Linked DNA regions of Saccharomyces cerevisiae S288C. The protein of the gene in region 2 interacts with the protein of the main gene of each other region in a biochemical or structural test. Each region holds a gene or a part of one and is shown on either strand. Other genes may lie near its edges. The genes, in order: PRK1 and GON7.

What was found.
Region 1: of the proteins of GON7 (region 2) and PRK1, one has a biochemical effect on the other in vitro, tested with the Saccharomyces cerevisiae proteins (one study listed by BioGRID).

Annotation. Positions count from the first base shown.
Region 1 is NC_001141.2:175,175-187,291, reverse strand, and holds PRK1 (serine/threonine protein kinase PRK1), read right to left. Parts: upstream 3,356-12,117; coding exon 923-3,355; downstream 1-922. Other genes in the region: LYS12 (homoisocitrate dehydrogenase), read left to right, coding at 1-775; BMT5 (25S rRNA (uracil2634-N3)-methyltransferase), read left to right, coding at 4,165-5,175; glucose-induced degradation complex subunit FYV10, read right to left, coding at 5,315-6,865; FMC1 (Fmc1p), read left to right, coding at 7,053-7,520; SGA1 (glucan 1,4-alpha-glucosidase), read right to left, coding at 7,639-9,288; XBP1 (Xbp1p), read left to right, coding at 10,042-11,985. UniProt on the Saccharomyces cerevisiae protein: Protein kinase involved in the regulation of actin cytoskeleton organization and endocytosis. Phosphorylates PAN1 which disrupts the interaction between PAN1 and END3, and between PAN1 and SLA1. Phosphorylates SCD5.
Region 2 is NC_001142.9:68,470-84,319, reverse strand, and holds GON7 (chromatin DNA-binding EKC/KEOPS complex subunit GON7), read right to left. Parts: upstream 873-15,850; coding exon 501-872; downstream 1-500. Other genes in the region: MNN11 (alpha-1,6-mannosyltransferase), read right to left, coding at 1-252; ATG36 (Atg36p), read left to right, coding at 1,344-2,225; alpha-1,2-mannosyltransferase MNN5, read right to left, coding at 2,405-4,165; tyrosine protein kinase SWE1, read left to right, coding at 5,058-7,517; 60S ribosomal protein eL39 RPL39, read right to left, coding at 7,846-7,995, 8,382-8,387; 40S ribosomal protein uS8 RPS22A, read left to right, coding at 9,018-9,410; 40S ribosomal protein uS11 RPS14B, read right to left, coding at 9,709-10,115, 10,524-10,533; SOP4 (Sop4p), read left to right, coding at 10,906-11,610; YJL193W (uncharacterized protein), read right to left, coding at 11,746-12,954; AAA family ATPase CDC6, read right to left, coding at 13,441-14,982; and 1 more. UniProt on the Saccharomyces cerevisiae protein: Component of the EKC/KEOPS complex that is required for the formation of a threonylcarbamoyl group on adenosine at position 37 (t(6)A37) in tRNAs that read codons beginning with adenine.

The DNA.
Region 1 (12,117 bases), on a different chromosome or scaffold from region 2:
GAGGGAAATGGGCCTTTTCGCTAATGTTCGTCCTGTTAAGTCTGTAGAGGGAGAAAAGGGTAAACCAATTGACATGGTTATCGTCAGAGAAAATACTGAGGACCTGTACATTAAAATTGAAAAAACATACATTGACAAGGCCACAGGTACAAGAGTTGCTGATGCCACAAAGAGAATATCCGAAATTGCAACAAGAAGAATTGCAACCATTGCATTAGATATTGCCTTGAAAAGATTACAAACAAGAGGCCAAGCCACTTTGACAGTGACTCATAAATCAAATGTTCTATCTCAAAGTGATGGTCTATTCAGAGAAATCTGTAAGGAAGTCTACGAATCTAACAAGGACAAGTACGGTCAAATCAAATATAACGAACAAATTGTGGATTCCATGGTTTATAGGCTGTTCAGAGAACCACAATGTTTTGATGTGATAGTGGCACCAAACCTATACGGGGATATATTATCTGACGGTGCTGCTGCTTTAGTCGGTTCATTAGGTGTTGTTCCAAGCGCCAACGTAGGTCCAGAAATTGTCATTGGTGAACCATGCCATGGTTCTGCACCAGATATTGCTGGTAAAGGTATTGCTAACCCAATCGCCACTATAAGATCTACTGCTTTGATGTTGGAATTCTTGGGCCACAACGAAGCTGCCCAAGATATCTACAAGGCTGTTGATGCTAACTTAAGAGAGGGTTCTATCAAGACACCAGATTTAGGTGGTAAGGCTTCTACTCAACAAGTCGTTGACGACGTTTTGTCGAGATTATAGAGCATATAATAGGAAAATAGAAACGAATAAATAAATGAATGAGTGACAAGATATATTTCAAAAAATTTCAAATGATTGACGAAAGAAAATTTGTACATTTTGTATGACTTTTAATATTACATAGTCTATTATGTGTGAGAGCAAGTTTTAAACTTTGCTGGGAAACCTTTTTCTAAAATCGGCTTCTAAATCATCTACGTTAACATCAACAATAGTTTCTGTGGCTTCGCTGGAAATTCTTTCAATCGGCAGTTTCTTTGATTGTAAACGACTAAAGTTTCTTATCTTCTGAATTTCTGTCCTTAAATGTAGTGGTTTTGGTGGTGGACGTGGTGGTCTTGATTTATCTTTACCGTTGCTTTTCGTTTTGATGTCCAAAACACCATCCTTAAGGGTTTTCTTAAACTTTTCTTCTGTGATTGGTGTTATTCTTACACTTGAATGTCGATTGGAAGTTTCTGTACCAATATCTGTATATTTACCATACCCGGATGCGGATTTATACGTTACCGGATCATCAGAACTCTTTAGTAAGTTATGCACTCTTCTTTGAATTGATTCCTTCTTTTCTTGATTTATATTAACGTTGCCATTATCTGGTATCAAAGTAGGCTTTGATGTCGTTTTAGCTGATGCTTGAGTTTTCTTCACTGGAGAATGAGACCTGTAATAGTCCCTTGATCCAGTTCTCGAGTTATTCCTCTCATGCTGGTCAAAATCTGATAAAATTGAAGGAGGCATACTGCGACGTTTTTCCAGTCTCTGATTCTTGTCTGATTCCTCTTTTCTTTTGGTATCAGAATTAAATTTAGGAAAGGAGGAGGTTGAAGACGAAACTAATCGCCTGTTTGTATTGTTACCATTGCCGTTGACATTGTTATTATCAAAGGAAGCAGACCTGCTATTGTTCACTGAGTTTCCTGTAAACCCATGACGAAGCTTACCAAATGCTGATCTGATACTATCACCAGTATTTTGCCTTGATTTAATCGGAGAATTGCCGCGAGATTCACCAGTAATAACCTTTTTTAACTTAGAGCTTAGTGAACGCACAATCTTGCTTCCATTTATATTATCTGGAGCAGCAATTTCTTTTGTGGAGCTTAGTGATTTGCTTGTAATGGTGGGAGATAGTTTTAAGTTTGGCACAGCCATGTTATCTATAGTTTGCGTCTCAGAATCAACGTAGTTATTTGGACGATTTATTGCCGAAACTCTATCAAAAATGTCATTATTAACAGGAGTAAGCGATAATGGAGGCATAGACTTCCTTTGTGGGGATTGGAAACTTTCTACTGATTTGAAAGTCTGAGACTTTTGAAAAGGGTGTAGCTCTTTATAATATAGTGATGCAAATTCATCAGAAAGTGGAACGGATTTTGTTTTCATTAAGGGACTAGTCAAATTTGAATGGCTTCCAACCTGTAAGCCAGCATGCGCCGTTACTTCTGTCTTGTTATTATCATTAATAGATATAGGGAAAGTACCCAAATTAGGAGTAGTACTGACGTGAGTTACAGGCATCATATTTGGTGGCTGGTTGATGCTCTGAAGGCTTTGTACGGGAATAAATTTCTGTGTTGGAACATAAGTTGTCGAAGACGGTTCACCGGCCAATTGGGTATTCGCATTCTGATTCATTGCTCTTAACAAGTAAAAATTTCTAATCGGGCAAGGCTTATTCTGTAACCTGGAAACCTCCTCTAAAACTTGACAAATATTTGGCCTCTGAGATGGTGCTTCCATTAACATAAGACGTATCAAATTTTTCAACCTGTCACTATACTGCGGAAAGGATGGATATTGATACCTTGCATGTAGTATACCGGCTTCACCACTTTTTTCAAACGGCGTAGTATAGTAACATATTTTGTAAAGAAAGACACCAAGAGCCCAAATATCAGATTTTTCGTCGATAGGTAACCCTCTGTACAGGTCAATCATTTCAGGTGATCTATACTGAGCTGTAGTATTTGTTAGGATGTCGTGTTGAACATAATTAAACTCTTGAGTATTTCTAGGTGGCCTTATCACACCGGAAACGGAACCAAAATCACAAACTTTATACAAGCCATCATGAGAAATAAGTACATTCTCAATCTTAATATCTCTATGAATCAATGGCGGCTGCAGAGCGTGCATTGCAGTTATACCTTGGACGGTTTGACTCATAATTTCTAATATTTCAGATTCTTGTAATCTATTTTGTAATCTGGTGTTCATAAAATCTATAAGACCTCCACGTTCACAAAATTCCATTAACACAAACACCTCATATGCTATACCATTTACAGACCTTGCAGCATGTGAATCTATGTAAGAAACAACATGCTTATTATTTCTAAGGAGTTTCATAGCATCCACTTCAGCTCTCAAGGTATTTAAACCCTGTTTATGGGGGACAATGACTCTTTTCAAGCATGCTATGTTAGCATTGCTATATGGGTCAGGAGGGGAAATTTCGGCAGTATATACTTGTGCGAATCCACCACTCGTAAGGTATTTGATAATCTTAGCATGATGAGATCCCACAGTTAATATTGTCCCGGGTTCATACAGACTAATCTGTGGAGTATTCATTGTTTTTGGATCAGTTCAACTAAAGATAGGAGGTTACAAATAATCTTGATCAACACTTCAATCAAAAAAGATTTTTTTCGCTGAAGATAATAAACTATCCCACAATGGAAATTCAACCTGTATTAGCGAACTAACTTATGTTCAAGTGGAGCCTGTGACCTGCCTGCTTGGTGACTTTTTTAGCGTTTCCTAAATGTACTGTTCTATATTTTTCTTTTTCCAAGACCTTCGCTCTGCATACGCCTGCCTGGTTATAATTACAGTTTTTTTTAAAAACCTTTACTAAGAATAAATAGTAACAGCTAGTGCAAACTAACGACATTGACATTTACTTGATATAAAATAATTGAGAGCGATCATATATATCGGAAATCTCTATCAGTACTAATATTAAATTTACATGAAATACTTCAACAAATTCCTGGTCTCTTGGCCCAGTTGGTTAAGGCACCGTGCTAATAACGCGGGGATCAGCGGTTCGATCCCGCTAGAGACCACTTATTTTTATGACTTCTTGGAAGTCAATTTTTTTTTCCTTCTGAATCAGTAATAACAAAAGTCGTAGTTGATCTTGTTATTGGATCATGTACATCAGTATTATTAATGATTTTAGTATTTCAAGCTGGCTCCCATATTTTTCTCCTGTAGAAAGAATGTAAATTATTCGGAAAAAAAAAAAAAAAAAGAAAAGAATTGGCGATGCGATGAGCTTAAAAGAAAACCTTCCATTACTTAAATTCATTGGAGCCTGACAACGTTTAGTAACGTTAAAATCATAGATTAACACCAATCATAACCTAAAATTATCAATGGCCAGGAAATTGAAGGGTAAGATTGGGAGTAAAGGCCTAAAAGGTGCATTATTAAGGCACAAGGCCAAAGTGAAATTAGTGAGGAATATTGAAAGTAAGCAAAAACATGAACTAAGAAAGAAAAATTCGAGCGCTAATAACAAAACCGTGAAGAGAAACCAAGAATTCCAAAAACTTAATCAAGGGAAGGTTATGCCCTTTGAGAAGGATGAAACTTTGATGCTATGTGGTGAAGGAGATTTTTCTTTTGCCAGATCCATTGTTGAACAAAACTATATTGAAAGTGACAATTTAATCATAACAAGTTACGATAATTCTGTGAATGAGCTGAAATTGAAATATCCGCATACTTTTGAGGAAAATTACCAGTACTTAAAAGATCTAAATATTCCGATATTTTTCCAGATTGACGTTACGAAGCTCGTAAAGAGCTTTAAAATTTCCAAAAATAATACTTGGTTTAAAATAATCAACAGGCTTAGCGATCATCGTTGGGGTAACAAACCTTTACAAAATATAGTTTTCAATTTTCCCCATAATGGAAAAGGTATTAAGGATCAAGAAAGAAATATTAGAGAGCATCAGGACTTAATTTTTAACTTTTTCCAAAATTCCTTACAATTATTTAATCTTATAAACACGAAAATTCAAAATGATACTCTTCGTTATACGCAAGGCTATGATCTTAATGAGGATACTCCCCAGGCTAAAAAATTGACCGCCGAAGGTTATGGTAACATCATACTGTCCCTTTTCGATGGAGAGCCCTATGATTCATGGCAAATCAAACTTTTAGCCAAAAAAAATGGACTAACTCTGAGCAGATCGAGCAAATTCCAATGGGAAAATTTTCCAGGATATCATCACCGGAGAACGAATAGCGAACAAGATACTACAAAACCTGCGAAAGAACGTGATGCTAGGTTCTACATCTTTAGTAAATATGTCTCGAATAGTTCAAAACATAACCGTAAAAGCAAAAAAGACACAGATTCTGATTCAGACTAAGTACAGAAGGAAGAATGTCGCCATGTTGATGAAAGAACTTTCATTTTCCCTAATTCTTATATAGCGTAAGTATCTGTAAAATAGTTGTGAAAGTTGGACAAATCTTTATATAAAAAAATGCATATAGCTTGAAACTATTTCAGGTTGGGTACATTTTGATAGAATCTGATTCGCAAAATATTTTCATGTCAACTGGATCCATAATTTGACCTGGATTTAAAGAAATTAAGTTTTGCTTTTTCAATGTTTTGGCCAATTTCTTCAATTTTTTACTGTCGTAAACATTTCCATTTGGTAATAGTATTGGATTTTCAAATAATTGAGACTGAATGTGATGAGCAAATGGTAATGCCTGTGTTATTGGTTTGAAAGTCTCACTGCAAACGGGACAATTTTTCCTTTTTAGTGAATGTAGCGTAAAGAGTTGTAAATCTTCAACTTCTTTCTCTGCTGTTGTGGCAGTTTCCGTCTCTTGATTTCCATTTTCATCGTCAGAAGGGTGCAGGCAATCTCTTGTCTTCAAAGACGATATACCTAGTGACAGGTATATCAATAAAGGGTCATTTTGTGATATGCCATACATGGAATAAAAGTCGCTCAAGAATAAATCATTTAATACCGACCATCTTTGATCATCTAATAAATTCAGATATCTTTCGAAATCTCCACTTTGTAAATTTATTAAGGAACTCTTGTCATAGTCTGTTGTATTCACCGCAGGTTTGGAGGTAATTCTAGGTAAAGATTTGTGAAAAAAATGTTGAAATATTCGATCTTTCTTCATTGGTAAACTTTGAGACTTAATCTCTTCAGTATCGAATCCAGAGCTGGTAGAAGAAGTTGGCTTTTGATCATTACAGTATTTGATAAAAATCAGAAGTCCAGATGCTAATTTTAAATCGGTGAAGTTGCTCTTAACGAATGGTAAAAGGAATCTTTGAAAACATACTATAGCGTCGGTATAGTTATCCACCTTTAGTAGTTCAATATATTCTTGCAATCTTGCTTGAAACTCTAATATAGAGGACTTTTTGGTCAGTGTCTTTTTGTTCTCGTTTATCCATGAAATTAGGGGTAAGAGATTACGCTCATGTAGTAACGAAGTCGAAATTCTATTAGCCTCCAAGAGGACATCATAATCAATGAGATCATCCAGTTGGCTCTGTTTCAAAAACACTACGCCAGAGTTCCAATGATCCTTTGTCTCCGAGTTGTATTTAATCGGGTTATTCCTCGTCAGATAATCACCAATTAAAATGTTTGTATAACTCTGATACCACTGTATCAATTTAGTCCTGGTACCCTCATTATTTCCATTGTGCGATGTTCCTGAATTTTGTGACTTGATGTCCTTCAGTTCGTGGAAAAACTCCAGCCTTTTTTTAATTCTGTTCAAAATCTGACAGTAGGACTTGATTTGCGTATTTAAAAATCTTTCTATATGGTCAACTTTCCTAATCATTTCAGTTATTTTTGCTAGTGCCAACTCGTCGTGCTCAACGTCATTATGTTCAAATATTTGATTTAATGCGGCCGTGTGTTCATGTAGTGATTTGGTTTCCTTATTAATTACCGCTTGAGTATGCTTGATACGTTTGGACAGTAGTTCATAAGGAATATGAAATAATTGTTGATTTAATTTCAAATGGAAATCCACATCAGGCTCATTAAATATTGATTTCTCTGCCATGGCTTACCTACTTTCCTATAATTTATAATCATTTTCTCTGTTTTATGTATGAAATTGTAGATTTAACCACCCCCTTCTCTTCGCCTTTGCAAAAAGTGAATATCTCAAATTGCACTAGAGTTTCATTTGCAGCGATAAGTGGATAACAAAAAGCTGAAAAGAGAGAGAAAGAGAGAGTGCCAGGGAAATGGATAGACCAAGAACATTACGCACATATAGAGGACTCATAAGAGCCATTCTGAAATATGAAAGGCCAAGCAAGATAGTCAATTGGGGCAATCTACGAAAGGCAATGATAACAAAGTTGGAATATGCTAAGAAACAAAATCAGAGAGACTCGCATGAGAACATCAACAGACAGTTAGAGAAATGGAAAAAACTAGATCCGGTAAGCGACAGATCTTTGAATTTGTTTATAGCCGACTCTAAGTCATTACGTTCCATATTACAAAACGATATAAAGTGGGAGAAAAAGGTGGCCCAGGGACAAAACGTTGACGAGATATTCGAACACGCTTTGGACATCATCAAGTTCTTGGACAACCAAAGAGAATACGAGGAGCTGGTCGACAGATACAATCCTGGCAACAAGTTGACACAGGATGAGAAAGTGAAAAGAACTGCAAACGTGGTTGGGCTGGACGTTCCGACATAGTATCTAATCAATTTATAATATCAGAGTTTTGTAAATAAGTATATATATATATTTGATGTAAATATCTAGGAAATACACTTGTGTATACTTCTCGCTTTCCTTTTATTTTTTTTTTTGTCTACAAACTCTGTAAAACTTCTTGTCTTATTTGATAGGCATCCCAGAATGAAGTATAGGACCAGGTAAGGTGTTGGGCACCCTGCATAAACCCTGTGTATTTGTTAAATTGTTCACTTAGTTCCCCGTCTGTTCCCACGTGAGCTTTCAGCTTGACCAAGAATGAATCAGCTAGTTGGAAGATTTTTTGTATGGTTTGATTGAAGGCAGGTGTATTGAACTCCAAAATCAAATAGCCTTCGTCATTTCCCAAAGTCGTGAGGTTGGAGAATACCAGCTCGCTCCAAAATGCGTTCGAACAATCGTTGTTCATTGGGACAACCAAGTCATGCTGCTCAGAGATGTGTCTGTAAATGAGCTGATAAAGCGTTGTTGAAGCGGTACACGTGGCCAGGACCCAGGGATTTCCCTCGCCAAAGCCATATCCATCATATACGTCCTCAGGATACCGGCCCAGGGCAATACCCGTTGCATTTTTGGAGCTATCGTTGATGGGGTATATCGAACGCATGTGCAACATCAAATGGTGCAACGTGTTCAGGACGGCAGGGTCATTGATATCGAACGGAAGATGGGAAGCAGATGGCGCATCGTGGACGGTGTTCGCAGCTAATAAAGTGGATATGTCCAGTCCGGATCTCAATGTGTCGGCAATCATGGGTGTCCCAACAATATAATTGTACTTGCCGTTGATAAACCCATTCGCAGGGTCCACTAAAAACTTGGAGATGTCCCGGCGTGTCTGACGCAATTCTTCAACAAAGGGAGACGACCGTTCTGAGGCGTTAAAATACGACAGCGACTTGTCCACTGCAGACAGTTGTACCAGTAAAGTAAAGAAATGCATGCCATTGACTTCCTCCCATAGATCAAATCCGGAAGAATTCCAGTGGTCAATAATGAACCTCAGGTCCCAACGTACAATATCATCAAAGATATCTGCGGTGGACTGGAATGGGTACTTGGCCCCCAGATCAGTGCCAGATTGCTTGATGTAGTCGATGATTTTTAAGATGGCAATGCTTCGAAGAGCAGGCCCATCGTTTTGAGGACGACCCCAATCTTCCGTGAAAGCCGTGTTGTCGACGTTCCACTTAGGGTCTCCCAAAGCCACTGTATCGTTAGTGTAACCAATGCCAGCGCCCAATGTGTTGTTGCTTCTTTGCAAGTGGAATGAAACGTTCAGGTACTGCAATAACGTCTCTATTGCCGGGCCCGCAGAATGAGAGACAATACTGTTTATCGTCAACGCGCTGTCCCTTATCCATTGGTAGAAGTAGTCTGGATGCGTTTGCGATGGTGACGCAATCACGACCCCAGGCGAAATAGACGGATACACGGCGCTGGGCCCAATATTTTCAAATATTTTTTCGATGGAAACTTTTTTCTGTCCCTGGAGCCATTCCTCCAGCGCACTACTGTCCCAAGCGCCGTTTGAATCGTATACCACTGTCCCATTCATCAAGACTGCATCCCGCAGCTGCACTTGCGAAGGGCCGTTGTTTGAAAATACACCGCCGTAGCTTTGATCGAGAATGCCCTTGCCAAAGTCAAATTCGTATATAGTAATGTTCTCGAGCGCCCAAGCAAACCCGAATCCTACGCTGAGCATGCCGAGTAATTTGTTATAAAACATCTTTTGTCTTGCCATTTTGCTGCTGTTACTTATTTGAAATCTTGCTCTAGTCCACGATTATCACTATATTGTAAATGTACGATTTCTTGTGTAACAGAACAGATAACGGATCCAGAGCCAAGAGATGAGAAAAAATACGAAATGCGCAGGAGGAAACAGGGAACCAAAAAAGGACCCTTGCTTCTGTGCCTGAGTCCCCTAATTTGTGACTCCACACATGCAGGCAAGTTAAAAGCACCTTGTACGAGTGCTATGAATGGGTGTTACTCTGGCCCGATTTCCCTGACTTTCCTTATTCACCCTCACCCCTAATACCCGTTTCCGCGGATAATGTTCTATGCTTCGAAGCGCCCCCCTTGCGCTGGGCCTCGAACCGCATCCATTGAACAACAGCTTGGCCTTCCCTGTATTCTACCACATCCATTGCTATTGCCCCTCTCCCCTTCTCCTCTCTCTTCTTCTCCACTATACTGTGCTTTTCAGCCCATTCGGCGCGCGAAATCACAAGCTGTATATATACATTTACATATACATATATATATATATATATATGTGCATAAATGTATGTACATATATGAATGCCGGGCCGCGTGGCGTCTGTAGCTTGTGCGTGTACGTGTGTACACACTTCAACATATATATACATACATATATATATCTATTATTCGTGTACTAGTGTTTTAACTTGCTCGTTCTCGGTACGCATCCAGTTCTTCTCCCCACACAACGGCAAGCTCAAAATACCTTATCATAGACACCTTCTCCAACATGAAATATCCCGCTTTTAGCATTAACAGTGACACGGTACACTTAACGGACAACCCCCTGGACGACTATCAGCGTCTCTACCTCGTCAGCGTACTGGATAGGGACTCGCCGCCGGCCAGTTTCAGCGCCGGACTCAATATTAGAAAGGTTAACTATAAATCCTCCATTGCTGCGCAGTTCACACATCCAAACTTCATTATCAGTGCTCGGGACGCAGGGAACGGGGAAGAGGCGGCGGCGCAGAACGTTCTGAACTGCTTCGAGTACCAGTTTCCCAACCTACAAACAATTCAGAGCCTAGTCCACGAACAAACGTTGCTATCGCAGCTCGCTAGCTCCGCCACTCCTCACTCCGCCTTGCATCTGCACGATAAAAATATTCTGATGGGTAAGATCATACTACCTTCCCGGTCTAACAAAACACCAGTCTCAGCATCACCCACCAAGCAAGAAAAGAAGGCTCTGTCAACAGCATCGCGTGAAAATGCCACCTCCTCGCTGACAAAGAATCAGCAGTTCAAGTTGACCAAAATGGACCATAATCTGATCAATGACAAGCTCATCAACCCTAACAACTGCGTAATATGGTCGCATGACTCCGGCTATGTGTTCATGACGGGCATCTGGCGGCTGTATCAGGATGTTATGAAGGGGCTTATAAACTTGCCCAGAGGTGACAGCGTTTCCACTAGCCAACAGCAGTTCTTTTGCAAGGCTGAATTCGAGAAAATTCTATCTTTTTGCTTTTACAATCACAGTTCGTTCACTTCTGAGGAATCTTCAAGCGTACTGTTGTCGTCCTCCACCTCTTCGCCGCCAAAGAGACGGACATCCACAGGGTCTACCTTCTTGGACGCCAATGCGTCTTCTTCATCTACTTCTTCAACGCAGGCAAACAATTACATCGATTTTCATTGGAACAACATCAAGCCCGAACTGCGGGACCTTATTTGCCAGTCTTACAAAGACTTCCTGATCAATGAACTTGGTCCTGACCAAATAGACTTGCCCAACTTAAATCCGGCAAATTTTACGAAAAGAATAAGAGGTGGTTACATCAAAATTCAGGGTACTTGGTTGCCGATGGAAATCTCAAGGTTGCTATGCCTGCGGTTTTGTTTTCCGATCAGATACTTTCTGGTGCCTATTTTTGGTCCAGATTTCCCCAAAGATTGCGAATCGTGGTATTTGGCTCATCAAAACGTTACATTTGCTAGTTCTACCACTGGTGCAGGTGCTGCTACTGCTGCTACTGCTGCTGCTAATACAAGTACCAATTTTACGTCTACTGCAGTGGCAAGACCTAGGCAGAAGCCCAGACCCAGGCCAAGACAAAGATCTACTTCCATGTCCCATTCCAAAGCGCAGAAACTTGTTATTGAGGACGCCTTGCCCTCATTCGACTCATTTGTAGAAAACTTGGGCCTTTCCTCAAATGACAAGAACTTCATTAAAAAAAACAGCAAAAGGCAAAAGTCGTCCACATACACCTCTCAAACTTCTTCTCCAATAGGGCCAAGAGATCCAACGGTGCAAATTTTGTCAAACCTAGCATCCTTCTACAACACCCACGGTCACCGGTATTCATATCCGGGAAATATCTATATACCACAGCAAAGATACTCTTTACCCCCACCAAACCAGCTCTCGTCGCCACAGCGGCAGCTAAACTATACTTACGACCACATTCACCCAGTTCCTTCTCAGTACCAGTCTCCAAGACACTACAACGTCCCCTCTTCACCAATCGCGCCTGCTCCTCCCACTTTCCCTCAACCTTATGGTGATGATCACTATCATTTTTTGAAATATGCTAGCGAAGTTTATAAGCAACAAAACCAACGACCAGCTCATAATACAAATACCAATATGGACACCTCTTTTTCGCCAAGGGCGAACAATTCACTGAACAATTTCAAATTTAAAACAAACTCAAAACAATAAAAATGTCATCTGTTACATTTTTGGTAATATTCTTTTATAATGGTTCTTTAATTTTTTTACATAATTTACATATTATTTCAAAGTTTTTCAAAAATATCCGTACTATATGTTTTTCCAGACAAAACATAAAAC
Region 2 (15,850 bases):
AATCAACCGGCTGGAGGCAGGAATTTCGTTAATATACAGCCCATGGGATGGAGAATATGATGCACCGGCGGAACGAGAAATTGGATAGAAGCGATTGGAGAAGAAATAGAGGATAAAAACAAAGGCCGTTATTATCGACAAAAATTTACAAGTTCCGTACTTGTTCTGCTTGAAACCAAGCCTGTTGAACCACTGCGAACCCACCGATCTTGAGGAGTACGTTTTGCCCTTCGTTCTTGGTTTGATTGCCATTTTAACGAGTCCTAACACAGCTAACACCAACAACAAACCGGCAGGATGATTCCAAGTTGAAAATTGGCTTTCTTCGCATCATTTAGGAGTCGATCAATCCTTCTTAACTGTATCCCATCGTGTGTTTATTATTTTTTTATATCAACTCTTCCTAGTTCAACAATTATCACTTGTAACGAAATATTTGTCATTTATCATTAGACTCTTTTCTGTTTGTATATACACTCTCTAGCGCTACATATCGTTGCCTAAACAGCATCTTCGTCACCGTCACCACCATCTAATAGCTGGTTAATCTCTTCCTGGATCCGCTTCTCGTCTGCGCCGGCTTTCTTCTTATTTTTTGCCAATTCCATTCTTCCTGTCAAAAACTCGTTAATATCGTCCTGTAGCCCCGTCAGCTGCGTGCGCAGCTGGCCTAAGTATGTCAGTTGTGAGCCATCTTTCGTGCGTTCCGGTTCTGAAGGTTTGTCTCTATCGATTTGGCCAGCGTTTAGCACATGGTCACTGGGCCCAGTTGTCCTTCCCTCTGTGGTCATGTATCGAGGGTCATCGCGTATTGGTGCAAAACTTTTTTCCACACCATCTGGTGCACTGTACTGTGCTACCGGTAGTTTCATTGAGATATTAGGATAAGGTTCCAGTGCACTATCGGCTGTATATATTTATTTAGCTCTAACTTGGTTCAGTAAAACTACCAATAATCAGATGGGATATTCTTAAGTTACTCATTACTAGAGATCCGGGTAAAATTTTTGACCTGACAAGGCCGTAACACTGGAAACAGGAAGATCAACAAAGAAACTAAATAAACACCTATCGTAGTTGCTAATATAGAGCTTTAAAAAATCACGCTCTGTGGTGCTAAGACACTATTCTATTGTGCCATCACTAGAGCATTCGCGTTAAGATACTTTCACCAAGATAAACATCGTTATACACGTACGATCTACGTGCGGCTGTAGCGTAATCCCGAATAATACAAATCTTTTGAAGGGATAGATTTCTATATACTTACGAATGTCGACAAGGAGCAAAGGTTGTATTCAGGGCTTAAAATACTAAAATTTGGTGGTCAGTACAGCTCATTAATGGCATCTGTGAACAATTACCAGGTTGATTGCGGGTCAAGGTCTGCTCGCATTCAACCCAGAATTAATAACGGCATTCACGATGAAGAATCGCTATTTGAAGTCCTGGAACTCTCAGAAGAGGAATTTGAGCTAGACTTCCATAGATTAAAGTCATTCAATGATGTAAGGGTTATCAATAACCCAGATTTATCTCCAGAATGTACAAATACTGCCATTAGTCGCGATGAGACACTGGAATCTGCAAGTAGTGCCTTCGAAGTTCCTTCTGACGAAATTGCTATACTGTCGATATCCAGTGACAGCAATAAAAATTCTCCGCCCTCAGAGCAGCCGGCGCCCGCTCTTCGTAACATTCGATCGTCTAGTAACTCTGACCGGATCGATGAGTGGTGTTTGGGCAGCCATTTATTTAATGAGCTGCATCAAAATGTCCCTCAATCAAGCGACGGTGTCAATCATGGATTTCCCGTTTATTCCTTTAAGGAAAGAGAACTTTATACCTCTGCGAAATTAAAGAAACTTACAAATGCCCAAAGAATTGCTGTGCAGAAACTATCAAGAGACTTGTATCCAATTCTAAGAACATGCTACCGCGAGAAAACTCGCCGGCAATTATTGACATACCATCATGAAAGAATATTTGACGATATACCATCTTTTTTCCCCCAGCGTGACTTTATTTTCAATTACTACTCGATGCCTCTTGAATTCGACAGGTTGTCAGACGTAGATATAGATTCGTCATCGCGGTCACGATTTACAGATGAGAGCACTGGAGAAACATTAAACCGTTCACCAAGCGCAGCGTCTTCGTCGTTGGAAAACACATCTTGGTTTGGCTGGACTTTACTTTCTAGGTTTTTGGACAGAGAATGGTAGAAGAAAGTTAGATACCCTCATTCTAAAACGTTGTCCGAACACCATCAGTTAGTTTTTTCTTGGTTTCATTTTTTCATTTTTTTCTAAGATGTATATATATCCGTGCACATATATGCTACATTATATTATACAAGGTCGGATGGCGAGTTATTATTAAATTATTATAGTTAATCACTTCATTAGTTTTTCTCCCCCATAGCTTCTTTGTGTGTGCTCTCCAGATAATTAACATGATTGGTCAAATACTCACACATTGCATCCCATTCTGGGGTATTAACTTTATCGGTAAAATACTTGAATTTAATAACTTGGCTTTTCGGAGTGGTACAGAAGGACCCCCTCATATCATTGAATAAAAACAATTCAAAATCCATTCCATAGCGATGCGGCTTCCTGAAGCCCCGTACTTGTTCGCCATTTGGACCGATAAATCTGTTTTCATGATAAAGAGTCCATGGATCTGCCTTGTAGAAACTGGCATGAATGAACATGATATCCAAATCAGAACCGTCATCATTAACCATCAAAGTTTTCAAGAAACCATTGTCCAAAGTATAATCTGGATCCAGTTTGGAAAATTCCTCAATGTTGGCTTTAACTTTCTGCTGCGCCTTTTGGTATTGCTTGTAATCTTGTTCAAAATCATGCTGGAGCAAGGCGAGACCCTTGTAATCATCTTTTTGATAGAAGAAACCATCAAATTCAAAGTTAGTCCTCACTTGATAGTATGGCATATTCAAGGCATGGGCAGCAGCGACGAAAGTGTCTTTGTCACCTTCACCGGCAGTGCCTTGAGAAATCATCTTATAATACCAGGTAGGCCCATAAACATTATAGTATAGCGCCAGTAATAGAGTGTTGAAATGGCGAATCTTATCAATCACCATCTGGCCTGATTCAGAGCTCAAGTCTGGCATCGTGCCGTCCAGATCATGTAAGGGAACATGTTTCAGGAAATGCTCCTGTCTCTCCTTTGGAGTGTAATCGTTTGAGTTACTAACAAATGGATCATAACGTGACACGGGGGAAATATCGTCACTAACAAAACGGACTCTTTTGCCGATGTTAATGCTAGATCCTATAATGTTGTAAAAGGCGGGAGGGGTGACACGTCTCCAAAAATCGGGCCACAATATCAGGCCAGTATCGTTGAAGGATGTAGTGTTAAAAGCAAGGTCAAGGTTTTTCACCGCATAGTTATCTGCGTCCAAGAAGATAATACGCTTGAAACTGGAAATTATCAACCCAAAGACTTTCAACTGGAAGTGCGTGAGTTTTAAATCGCTTAATGGCTTTGAAGGAACGATATCTGAGAAATAAATGCACTTACCATTGAATTTCGGCAACCAGTTCTTACAAAAATCATCCTCGCCTTCGTCCTGAGGCGGAATGATGACTTCAATAGGCAATGTAGTACCCGTGTCCCTCAACTTTTTGATCATCGTATACGCGAGCACAGAATACTTTCCACCTCCAATGGTGACAATGCCCTCAGAACCTGAGAAAAGTGCCTCTCTTTGTGGGATGGAAAAATTCAGTTTCCCTGATAAGGTGTCTGTAAACTTACTGTGCACTTCTCGTAGGCTTTCTTGTACTGTTTTATTCAAATTATAGCATTTACTCAAGCTCTCGTAACTTAAGTCACTATCGTGTCCAGAGTCGTGTGCAGCAACGTTATTTGCAAAGCTACACCCTTCCGCCCCATGCAACTTACTCAAGTCCGGAGACGAATCTGCCGGCTTGTTTTCCACGATGGCTTGTACCAGTGTTGTGTAAAAATTGTTTTTAAGGTTCGACCTTGTTAGAACCGGCAATCTAAGCTTTTTACCGTATAACCAACTAGAAGACACATCATTATGCACAGAACAAAAAAATAAAATTAGCACTACTGCGCTCACGATGACCTGCAGGATTTTTCTCTTCTTTAACCTAATCAGCATTGTAACCTGAACTATTAGTATATCCTCTTGTTGTGCTAGGAACCAGTCGTAAAATAAAAATTTCCAATAACCGTGAAAATGCTTTTTTCATATCTGCGTATATATAAAACACTTTAAAGCCGTGTTGATCCTTTAGTTGTTACACTTTTTTTTCCCCGCCGATGAGAAAGTGAAAAAAAAAATCCGCAAGAACGGGGAAAAAGATAAAAGAAGGCACTTATCTCTCTGAACTCTGCACCGAAACATGCATCTGTCGTCTATTCCGACTTGGCAACCAAAAGAAGCCCAAGAGCTAGTTGCACTTAAATCAGTAGAATCGTGAGATTGTTTATTATCTTACTTCTGTTAGAGTGCTTCGCTTTCCATGCATCAAACTATGGATTTGTGCTGATCTTGCAACCATCGTCCTCTAAGGAAAGAAATGTGGCACCTTTAAATAGGTTCCACCTCACAGATGCCAACATGTGGGAGATAGGGGGCTATTCGCAATTTATTAACGTCTCTAGTACTGGTAAGCCTTTCTAACATTCTTGTGGTCACGTGATGTGTATGTTTCTTTTTTTTATTCCTCCGGGTGATAACGACGCGAAAAATATTTTTTCATTTTTCTTTTAACCATCACAATTTGCGACGCGACGCGAAAAAAATGCAGAGAAGTAAAAGAATGCTGGATAAGAAATCAACAACACAGTTGAACATTGGCGTGCCCCTGTGTATTAAGTAAAGGTTGTCCAAGAGGCTCTTTTTTGTATGTATGCGTGTGTTAACTATCCTGCACATCATCTTGCGCAGTTAGTCCAATAAAAAAAGGATTACTACTGAACAGGTCTTACTATTTTTGATTGCGTAGTGCTGGGGAAAAGTAAACACACACAGGCGCACACGAGAACAGATGAGTTCTTTGGACGAGGATGAAGAGGACTTCGAAATGCTGGACACGGAGAACCTCCAGTTTATGGGGAAGAAGATGTTTGGCAAACAGGCCGGCGAAGACGAGAGTGATGATTTTGCTATAGGGGGTAGCACCCCGACCAATAAACTGAAATTTTATCCATATTCGAACAACAAATTGACAAGAAGTACGGGGACCTTGAACCTGTCATTAAGTAATACAGCTTTGTCAGAGGCTAACTCCAAATTTCTTGGGAAAATTGAAGAAGAGGAAGAAGAGGAGGAAGAAGGCAAGGATGAGGAAAGCGTGGATTCTCGTATTAAAAGGTGGTCTCCGTTCCATGAAAATGAAAGTGTTACTACTCCTATTACAAAAAGATCTGCGGAAAAAACGAACAGTCCTATTTCTCTCAAACAATGGAACCAGCGATGGTTTCCGAAAAATGATGCTCGCACTGAAAATACATCCTCATCCTCTTCATATAGCGTCGCTAAACCTAACCAATCAGCCTTTACGTCTTCGGGCCTCGTATCTAAAATGTCTATGGACACTTCGTTATACCCTGCGAAATTGAGGATACCAGAAACACCAGTGAAAAAATCACCCTTAGTGGAGGGAAGAGACCATAAGCATGTCCACCTTTCGAGTTCGAAAAATGCATCGTCTTCTCTAAGTGTTTCCCCTTTAAATTTTGTTGAAGACAATAATTTACAAGAAGACCTTTTATTTTCAGATTCTCCGTCTTCGAAAGCTTTACCTTCCATCCATGTACCAACCATAGACTCATCCCCACTGAGCGAGGCAAAATATCATGCACATGATCGTCACAATAACCAGACAAACATCCTGTCTCCCACTAATAGCTTGGTTACCAACAGCTCTCCACAAACATTGCATTCTAACAAGTTCAAAAAAATCAAAAGAGCAAGGAATTCGGTTATTTTGAAAAATAGAGAGCTAACAAACAGTTTACAACAATTCAAAGATGATTTATACGGCACGGACGAGAATTTCCCACCTCCAATCATAATATCAAGTCATCATTCAACTAGAAAGAACCCTCAACCTTATCAATTTCGTGGACGCTATGACAATGACACTGACGAAGAGATCTCCACTCCAACAAGACGAAAATCTATTATTGGGGCAACATCTCAAACACATAGAGAAAGCAGACCATTGTCACTCTCCTCTGCCATCGTGACAAACACAACAAGTGCAGAGACGCATTCCATATCTTCCACCGATTCTTCGCCGTTAAATTCCAAAAGGCGTCTAATCTCTTCAAATAAGTTATCAGCAAATCCAGATTCCCATCTTTTCGAAAAATTTACGAATGTGCATTCCATTGGTAAAGGCCAGTTTTCCACGGTCTACCAGGTTACGTTTGCCCAAACAAACAAAAAGTATGCAATCAAAGCCATTAAACCAAACAAATATAATTCCTTGAAACGCATATTACTGGAAATTAAAATACTAAACGAGGTAACAAACCAAATTACAATGGATCAAGAAGGGAAGGAATACATCATCGATTACATCAGTTCCTGGAAGTTTCAAAATTCATACTATATTATGACAGAATTGTGCGAAAATGGTAATTTGGATGGATTTTTACAAGAGCAAGTTATCGCAAAGAAAAAAAGGTTGGAAGATTGGAGAATTTGGAAAATCATCGTGGAATTAAGCCTGGCTTTACGATTCATCCATGATTCTTGTCACATTGTGCATCTGGACTTGAAACCCGCAAACGTCATGATCACATTTGAAGGTAACCTAAAACTAGGTGACTTTGGAATGGCTACTCATTTACCGTTGGAGGATAAAAGTTTTGAAAATGAAGGTGACAGAGAATATATTGCACCAGAAATCATTTCTGATTGTACGTACGATTACAAGGCAGATATTTTTTCCCTGGGTCTGATGATTGTTGAAATTGCAGCGAACGTTGTGTTACCTGACAATGGCAACGCATGGCATAAGTTGAGATCGGGTGATTTATCGGATGCAGGAAGATTAAGTTCCACAGATATTCATTCTGAATCATTATTTTCAGACATTACGAAAGTAGATACAAATGATTTATTTGATTTTGAAAGAGACAATATCAGTGGTAATAGTAACAACGCTGGCACCTCCACTGTTCATAACAATAGTAATATCAACAACCCTAATATGAATAATGGCAACGATAATAATAATGTCAATACTGCCGCTACCAAGAATCGTCTTATTTTGCATAAAAGTTCTAAAATTCCCGCATGGGTACCGAAATTTCTTATTGATGGTGAATCACTTGAGAGAATAGTACGATGGATGATAGAGCCCAATTATGAGAGAAGGCCCACGGCAAATCAAATCTTACAAACTGAGGAATGCCTGTATGTAGAAATGACACGCAATGCAGGTGCTATTATCCAGGAAGACGACTTTGGACCTAAGCCAAAATTTTTTATATGATAAATGGAACAAAAAACCTTGTTTTATTTACATACTTTTTTCCCACACGTGCTTATGGGCCGCATTGTATAAATAATCCAATAACGAAAAAGAGTGTAATTGCAGTCCGGTAGTAATACCATGTAAAACCTTAGATGAGTTTATTTTAAGTACAGCCGCTTCAAGCATTTTTATTTTTATTTTACAGATGTAGCAGATAACAACCGTTAAATTATATTATATATATATATATATATATATCAAATACGACGTATTACATATATATTGAGAATAAGGGAAGGATGGAAGACAAATGACAAAAAGTTTGAAGCATAAATATGTTCTTCGCTTAGATGTTCATCTTGGTTCTTCTCCAGTTTCTTCTCTTAGCGTTGTAACGGATAGTGTTGTTGGTTCTCAATCTGATCCATTGTGGCAATGGTCTGTTTTGCTTCTTAGCCTTAGCCATTTTTTGCTTGATTCTGAAAGACTTTTGAGCCTAATTAAAAGGGAAACATATCGTGCACATACGAAGTGTACAATTGTAAAAAATGTTAGTAACAATGTTCAAACTCATCAATGTGATGCATTCACGGATCCAAGGCAATACCACCTGACATAAACCACGCTGGACCACCAAAAGTTCTCAGAATAAGCAGTTTATGACCATATTTTAATCTGCGTAGTGGCGACTTTAGATTTCTGTTTCGGATAAGAAAAATTTTAGTATGGTTAACACTCCTAATCCTTTCCCTATATTTTACACATTGCTTCTATTTCAAATCCAAATTGTAGGTGGTAAGGTCATTTAGATGGATGTGGTTTATAATTTGCTATTGATCAGTTCAGCATCTAACTGGGATTTATAATATCTTTCTAACATACAGCCATGTTGATCTATCTGTGTTTATTTGCTTGTCTTTTTCGAATTTTCAGTATAATATGAATGTACCAAAAATTGTAGAAAGTATATTAAGTAGAAGTTTTAAAGTATCTATCAAGGCGAAGAATAATTCTCGGTTCTCGACAGCCCAAAAGCCGAATTGCGTTAGTTAGCCCACGCGCGAGCGTAAACGCAAGGACCATTGAGCTTGGAACAGAAGGAGTCGCTTCGGCGTCCCCGCCAAGGCGTACTGTTTGCCTCGGCCTGCCGCGTGGTGGTGGTAGTTTGAGCCGGAGCCTAAAACGCCCATAAGTTTTTTGAAAATCAAGCTAAAAAATGAAAAAAAAAAAAAGTTAAATTGGTACTGTGCGCCCATACATCACATACTTAAAAGTGTGTAATTCCTCTATACATCCACACCTCACTATTTGAAAAACTCAAATATTGAGGACGCGCGATTACCAGCGGCATGTTTACTCGCTGGAAGATGTGAAATAATTCTTGAATATGGGTTTGCAGTTAGTCAATTTCAATCTAAATAATCTTAATCGACTATTCAATTCTTAAATTGTAAGGTTTTTTAATGGCCTTTCAGTTCTAGTATTTTTTATAAAACAAGACCAACATACATATCCAAGATGACCAGATCTTCCGTTTTAGCTGATGCTTTGAATGCCATTAACAACGCTGAAAAGACCGGTAAGCGTCAAGTTTTAATCAGACCATCCTCCAAGGTCATTATCAAGTTTTTGCAAGTTATGCAAAAGCACGGTTACATTGGTGAATTTGAATACATCGATGACCACAGATCTGGTAAGATTGTTGTTCAATTGAACGGTAGATTGAACAAGTGTGGTGTTATTTCCCCAAGATTCAACGTTAAGATTGGTGACATTGAAAAATGGACTGCCAACTTGTTGCCAGCCAGACAATTCGGTTACGTCATCTTGACCACCTCTGCTGGTATCATGGACCATGAAGAAGCCAGAAGAAAGCACGTTTCTGGTAAGATTTTGGGTTTCGTTTACTAAGCTACTTGTTACAACAACCTTTTCGGTAGCTTTATATACTATAATAAACACAAGATAGCCTCATAACTTTACTCATTTCTTATTATACATTTTTTTAGTTTTCCTGTTAAATACTAATATATTTGTACTTTAAAACTGTTCAAAAGATTAGACAGAAATGAATTTATCTGCCGCATTTCTGCATGCACGAAGTCGAATATGCAAATGTTTATATTGGCTTTATTAATTAAACAAACTATATTTATGTGAGAAGGTAAAGCCGTATTTCCATGCGTTAATAGAGTAAAAAAAAAAGAAATCATAATCTTCTACCTCTTCTACCACCCTTCTTTCTGGTGGAGTCTGATGGGACTGGAGTAACGTCTTCGATACGGCCAATCCTCAAACCAGATCTGGCCAAAGCTCTCAAAGCGGCTTGACCACCTGGTCCTGGGGTCTTGGTTCTGGTACCACCAGTAGCTCTGATCTTAACGTGAACGGCAGTGATACCGACTTCCTTACACTTAGCGGCAACATCTTGGGCAGCCAACATAGCAGCGTATGGAGATGATTCGTCTCTGTCGGCCTTGACTTTCATACCACCAGTAACTCTGGCGATAGTTTCCTTACCAGATAAATCGGTAACATGTACAAAGGTATCGTTAAAGGAGGCGTAGATTCTGGCAACACCAAAGACTTGAGAGTTATCGCGAGCTTGAACAAGGTCTATACATGATAAGAGGTATAGTTGTTAGTAAACAGAACTTCTGCTTTTTCGATTATTAAAAAATAAACGAATGAGTCACTATCTAACAACCATTTAGTTACAATCCTTTTAAGATAAACATTCTTTATTACAGATGATACAGTATTAAGGGTGAGCGCAGAGCCTCTATAACACAATAGCATTGAAGTGCTTTATTGCAGAAATTTTAACTCCGTATTACAGAATTTCATGGCCTTACAAACATAAGTAGCATCTCATAACACTATTGCAATATAGTTAGGAGTGCTTCAAAGTTGCAAAAAAAATAAAATTCCAATAATAACATCATGCGCTACCCGATCACAGTCTCCATCTGAAAAAAAGAATAACTAAATGGTTTTAAACAGGATATCACCCCTTTCACGTACCGTTAGCCATTCTTAATTGTTATTGGGAGTTGTTGATTTCAGTCTTTTTCTCTCTTGCGATGAAGATGCATACAGAAGGAATAGTACCGCTTTTATACTCGTAGAAGGCAAGTTCTTGCGACTATATCTTTTATTCCGTTTTGTTTTTCAAGTCTATCACCCATTAAAAAGTTTGAAATTTTTTCCATATTCTTTTCAGTGTGGTGCAAGGATGTACAATGATGTGTTTACACCACATATAAAATCAAGCTCGAAAAACAGTCTCGAAAATGATCGAGGATTTCAGGATGAAATTATGTATGAAATTAAGATGAACGAATTTGTCAAGCCATTAAATATCATCAAAGTAAATTTGATCAACAAGTGAAAGAGCAGTGTGACGATGTTTTCACAGATTGTTCTTTTACTCAGTGCATTTATTTATGTCGCCAGTGCTACGGCCAGGAGAGGGACCATTAAGGGTCGCTTAGACTTAGCAGCAAGTAACATCACCGGCTTTGTTTCAACTAGAACAAGTTTCAAACTTTATCAGATCGGCAATTTTTCGACAGAATATCCTTACACATCTACGACCATGTTTCAAGATGACGAAGGCAACTTTGAATTCGCTAATCTCCCTTTAAACGACGGTGTTAATGAAACGACATACTATGTGATGTACCCAGCATCTATGGACTTCAATCTGAAGCCAAACAGAATTCTTATTGAATTCAAGAATTTAGAGAATGGCACCTTACAATTGAACGCGTTCAAGAACTTTTTTGGAAGAGAATATTTCCCATCCAAAGATATAACGTACCCAGAAAAATTACAATCTATGAAGGTGCACCCTTATATTACAGTGGAGCTTTTACATAAGGCCCCGATTAGATCTTATTTACAGGCTAGAAACGTCAGTATCTTTTCTACAGGTATTGTGGGTAATATTTTGAACTCACGTTGGAAACTGGCGGGCGTTATTACCTTAATTGCCCTTGTCGTTTTCCCAATCATAGTAGAAAAGTTGGACCCCGAAACAGCTCGAGCCATCAGAGAGGAGGCAAAAAGAAAACAAAGAGAAAAGTATGCTGCCGTTGCCTCAAAGTAGAGTGACTATTATGTGTTGATAAAGATTCTATTATTATATGTAAATTTTATGTATGGTACAGATAAGTAAATTCAAAACACCCGTATTTCCTAAAGGGAATAAATATTATTTGCATTTATATTCTATCATGTTAAACTACTCAGGACGTATTTTCGCTTTTATTTTCGATTGTGATGTGCATCTTTCATAAAGGAATAACCCTAATGTGTTCAGAACCAAACCGAACACTTGCAGCCAAGTAATTCTTCTTCCAATAAAGACCCAACTAACCGCAATAATGGCAAAGCGCTTCATCAGATTCGCTATTGAATATGTTAAAGTTGAGACCTCACCCAGTAAATGAAATGTAATCATTGCCTGAATGAAGTGGAATGTCCCGTTCAGTAAAAATAAAGAGACTGGAAAAGCTTTTATTACTGTAGAAGAGCTGTTAATTTGAAAAAAATACCTAAATAGTACAGGAAATTCTAGAGTGATAAACCAGCCAAACGATAAACAAAATCCAACAAGGGAAATATAAATCATTAAAGTCAATTTGTCATATGATTTAGGTTTCTTTTTCGCAACAAGTTTCTCATCCAACTTTTCATATAAGGGTAAAGGTGATTCTTGCCGTGAGAATCCAGAATTACTTTGAGATTCATCTGTTTGAGATCTGTACGTGAACACGGTCTTGCCATATATATTTTGCAAGACAAAAATGAACATTGATATCATAGCGCATATTACGCCGTATTTAGAGAATTCTCTCAGCTCATTGGAAGAGGCCGGTGAACGATTATCTTCTTGAACTATAATCCAAACTCCAAGAACTAAAGTGCATAAACTAAAGATAAGAGTTAAAGTAATTTTCAAAGTGGATATTTTCAAAATCTTTTGGAGCAAAAGGATAAACATGGGGGATAGCGTTTTTATACTTGCAACCGTGGAAACAGGCACCAAAGAGGTAGCTGTATGCCCAAAATATTTCCCTACAAATTGGAAAAGACCTAAAGGTAGAACTGTTTGCAGGATTGGTTTAGAGGGCGGTATAATGAGGGAGGATAGTTTTGATTCTTTCCTAGCTGCACGGCTAGTTTCTCTGTCGTCGATATAATATTCCGGAAAAGTACCATTAGGAAATATGCGATAGAATCCTGGGAAACTATATGCAATATAACACGTAAACCATGCTAGCACAGCAGTATAAATGAACTGAAACTCACCCAAAAAAAGTGGTAATGGGCAAACCGTTAGTACCTGCTTCGTTACCTGAGATGCCAACGATGAAATAAAATACCAACTTATGCATAAAAAAATTATGTGTGCATTGTGCCTAATGGATGCCGACAGCTGTTGAAACATCGTTTTCCCCTTTTTCTTCGAGTTCCTTCATTATTATAGAAGGCATATGTCACACCGTGCCAATTTATTTGTTTGCATTTTTTTTTTTTCACCTTTCCGACAGGCGCCATTGTTATCACATTAGCAGAGTGAATTGGTTGCGATTTGAAAGAGAAAATGTATCAAAAACAAACAATTGTACCCCACCTCCCCCTAACAATCATCCATTCTGCATCCAGTAGCTAATGATAGTAAAATATTTGTACAAATTACGTTTTATTGTGTCTTTTTTGCAATTTCTTTGAATGCAATGTTGCGTATATCATTGCATCTCAGCCAAACGGTTTAACCGTTTCCAGAAAAAAAAAGTCTATAATATGCTATGCTGTTACAACTATAATAGAATTTTTATATAGTGATATGCTTTTCTATAAAAAAAGGAATGTGAAAAATGAGGGATGCAAGTGGAACTGTAAAAAAAAAAGAAAAAATAAATCTATTAGCTGACTAGTGAAGGAAAGGTTTCAAAATTGAAATTTTGGTCATCTCATCATAAAATTCTCGCATGTCGAGATCAACATCAATCTTATCAACAAATCTCTTGGTTTTCCCTTTACACTTTGTCTTTTTGATTGAAACCAGCCCACAAGTTTCTAAAATTGTACAGATTTCCAAAAATTCATTTCTCTGCAATGGTGCTAAAGTATCAGTTTTTGTTATCGCTTTGATATAATGATCAAACGATTCGTCGATTGTAGCATCGGAATTTAGCTTCAGTGATTGAATTATGGTGCAAAGAATTAATTTTTGCTGGATGTTTAGTTTGGCTATCCTCGTTCTCGTAGAATTATTGTTCACGAATTTTGAGAAGACCTTGGCTATGTAGTTCAAGCCTATTTTACCTTGTGGTTCTGGATACGATTTCTTTACCGGAGAAGTAGTTGGCGTCAAAGGAACTTGCGCAGAGTTCAATGATCCTCTTGTTGGTGAAAGCAGAAACCGCTTTTCTAACTCATAGATTTCGATACTTCCCCTTAAGACATCAAAAAGTTTTCGAAGGTCACCCGTATTTCCAGCACACTTCTTTGCTGCGAATTTGATGGCCATCGGTTGGAAGATAATAGTGGGCAGACTACTCATTTTTTGAATGACGATTTCATACATTTGCTCAGCAGTGTATGGCTGAAAAACTATAGTTTGCGGTAACAACCCTCTGTCCAAATTTAACCTGGAAAGAAACCTATCTTTCATATCTAGACTATTAGCCATACCGATTAACACAAAACTCACAGTAGGCAATTTCGCCAAAAGGAATAATTCAAGAATAGTTCTAACTGATTGTGTCTCGCTCGTGTTAGCATGCAATAGCCTGTCCATCTCGTCCAACACAACCACAAACGTAGTTTTCTTATGATAAGGCTCTAAGAACTTCTGTAGATGCTGCATGTTTTTTATTTGCAATGTTGGGCCATTCAGATCTTGGAAGGAATCGAAAATCTTCTGGAAAATGGAGGACGGCTCTCCCAACGATATACAATTAATACTGGTTACCGCCACGGATTCTAGCCTTCCATCGGGCAATTCAAACCAGGACAAATTCTGCAAGTTCGGATTCGTATGTCTCAGCACGTCCTTCGAGCGTGGCGTGGAGAGCGACAATGGGAGGGACTGGAACTTCTGTCTTATAATCATATCAAGCTGGGCAGTCTTGCCAGTGCCAGGCGGACCCGTGATGTACAGTGAATCGGACCTGTGTTCAGAAATTGCCTTCGCCAAAAAATTCATAACTTGTTCGTACTCTGCTGTTCTTGCTGGCAATGCACCATCGCTGCTATTCAAGTTGACTAGCTCAGATGACTTCTGCAAAAGTGCCTTTGTCCTCAAAAAAATAGACTGTGAGCCAAACTGCAGTTTTTCTGGGGATGATTCTGGTGTAACATCTGTGAACTGCAACTTTTTTCTTTTCAAAGGTCGTGGAGGCGTTGCTGGAGCATCGTCAAATAGATTTCTTCTGATACGCTTAGTTGGAGTTATTGGTATAGCTGACATGAACGTATATGGTACTATTGATGAAAATAGTGCAGCGCAGTGTTCTGAATATTCCAAAATTGTTCTTCCAGAGAATATACCTCTACTATATAAATGAAAAAATAGACTAACTAATACTATTTTTCAAGATGGCGTTATATCTTTTCTGCCAGCCAACTCAATTTCCTAAGTGGGTAATTTCCTGATCTGGAAACTCCGACGCGTGAGGCCTCGCGTCGCTTTCTTCTTTGGGTAATTCAGGGAAAACAAAGGAATGCAGACTAGCAACTAGTTTCAAAACACAACAAATCGCAAGCCAGACATATTTTGTTGAAACTACAGATATTTCTGCTGCTTTTATTACCTTGCACTTACGTGACGTGACGAAATATTAGTTCTAAACTCAGGGTCTTGGCTTACCCGCGTCGGCTTTACGGATTAGTAAACCGAAGGACATAAGGGAAAGAAAGGAAGCCAGAAAAAGAGGTAGAAGTATATAAGACTAACTGATATGAATATTAAGGTAGGATACCTTATCAATTTTAAGGAACTTGAGAGCTAAATTTGCAAGCAAGTATGGTAAGTGATTGGAAAAATTTTTGCCTCGAGAAAGCCTCTAGGTTTCGCCCAACAATAGATAGGCCTTTTTTTAATATTTATTTGTGGGACTATTTCAATCGTGCGGTTGGGTGGGCCACTGCAGGTCGCTTCCAGCCAAAGGATTTTGAGTTTACCGTTGGGAAGCAGCCTTTGAGTGAACCTCGTCCGGTACTGCTTTTTATTGCCATGTATTATGTGGTTATATTTGGCGGGAGGTCCCTGGTAAAGTCATGTAAACCTCTCAAGTTGAGATTTATTTCTCAAGTCCATAACTTGATGTTGACTTCTG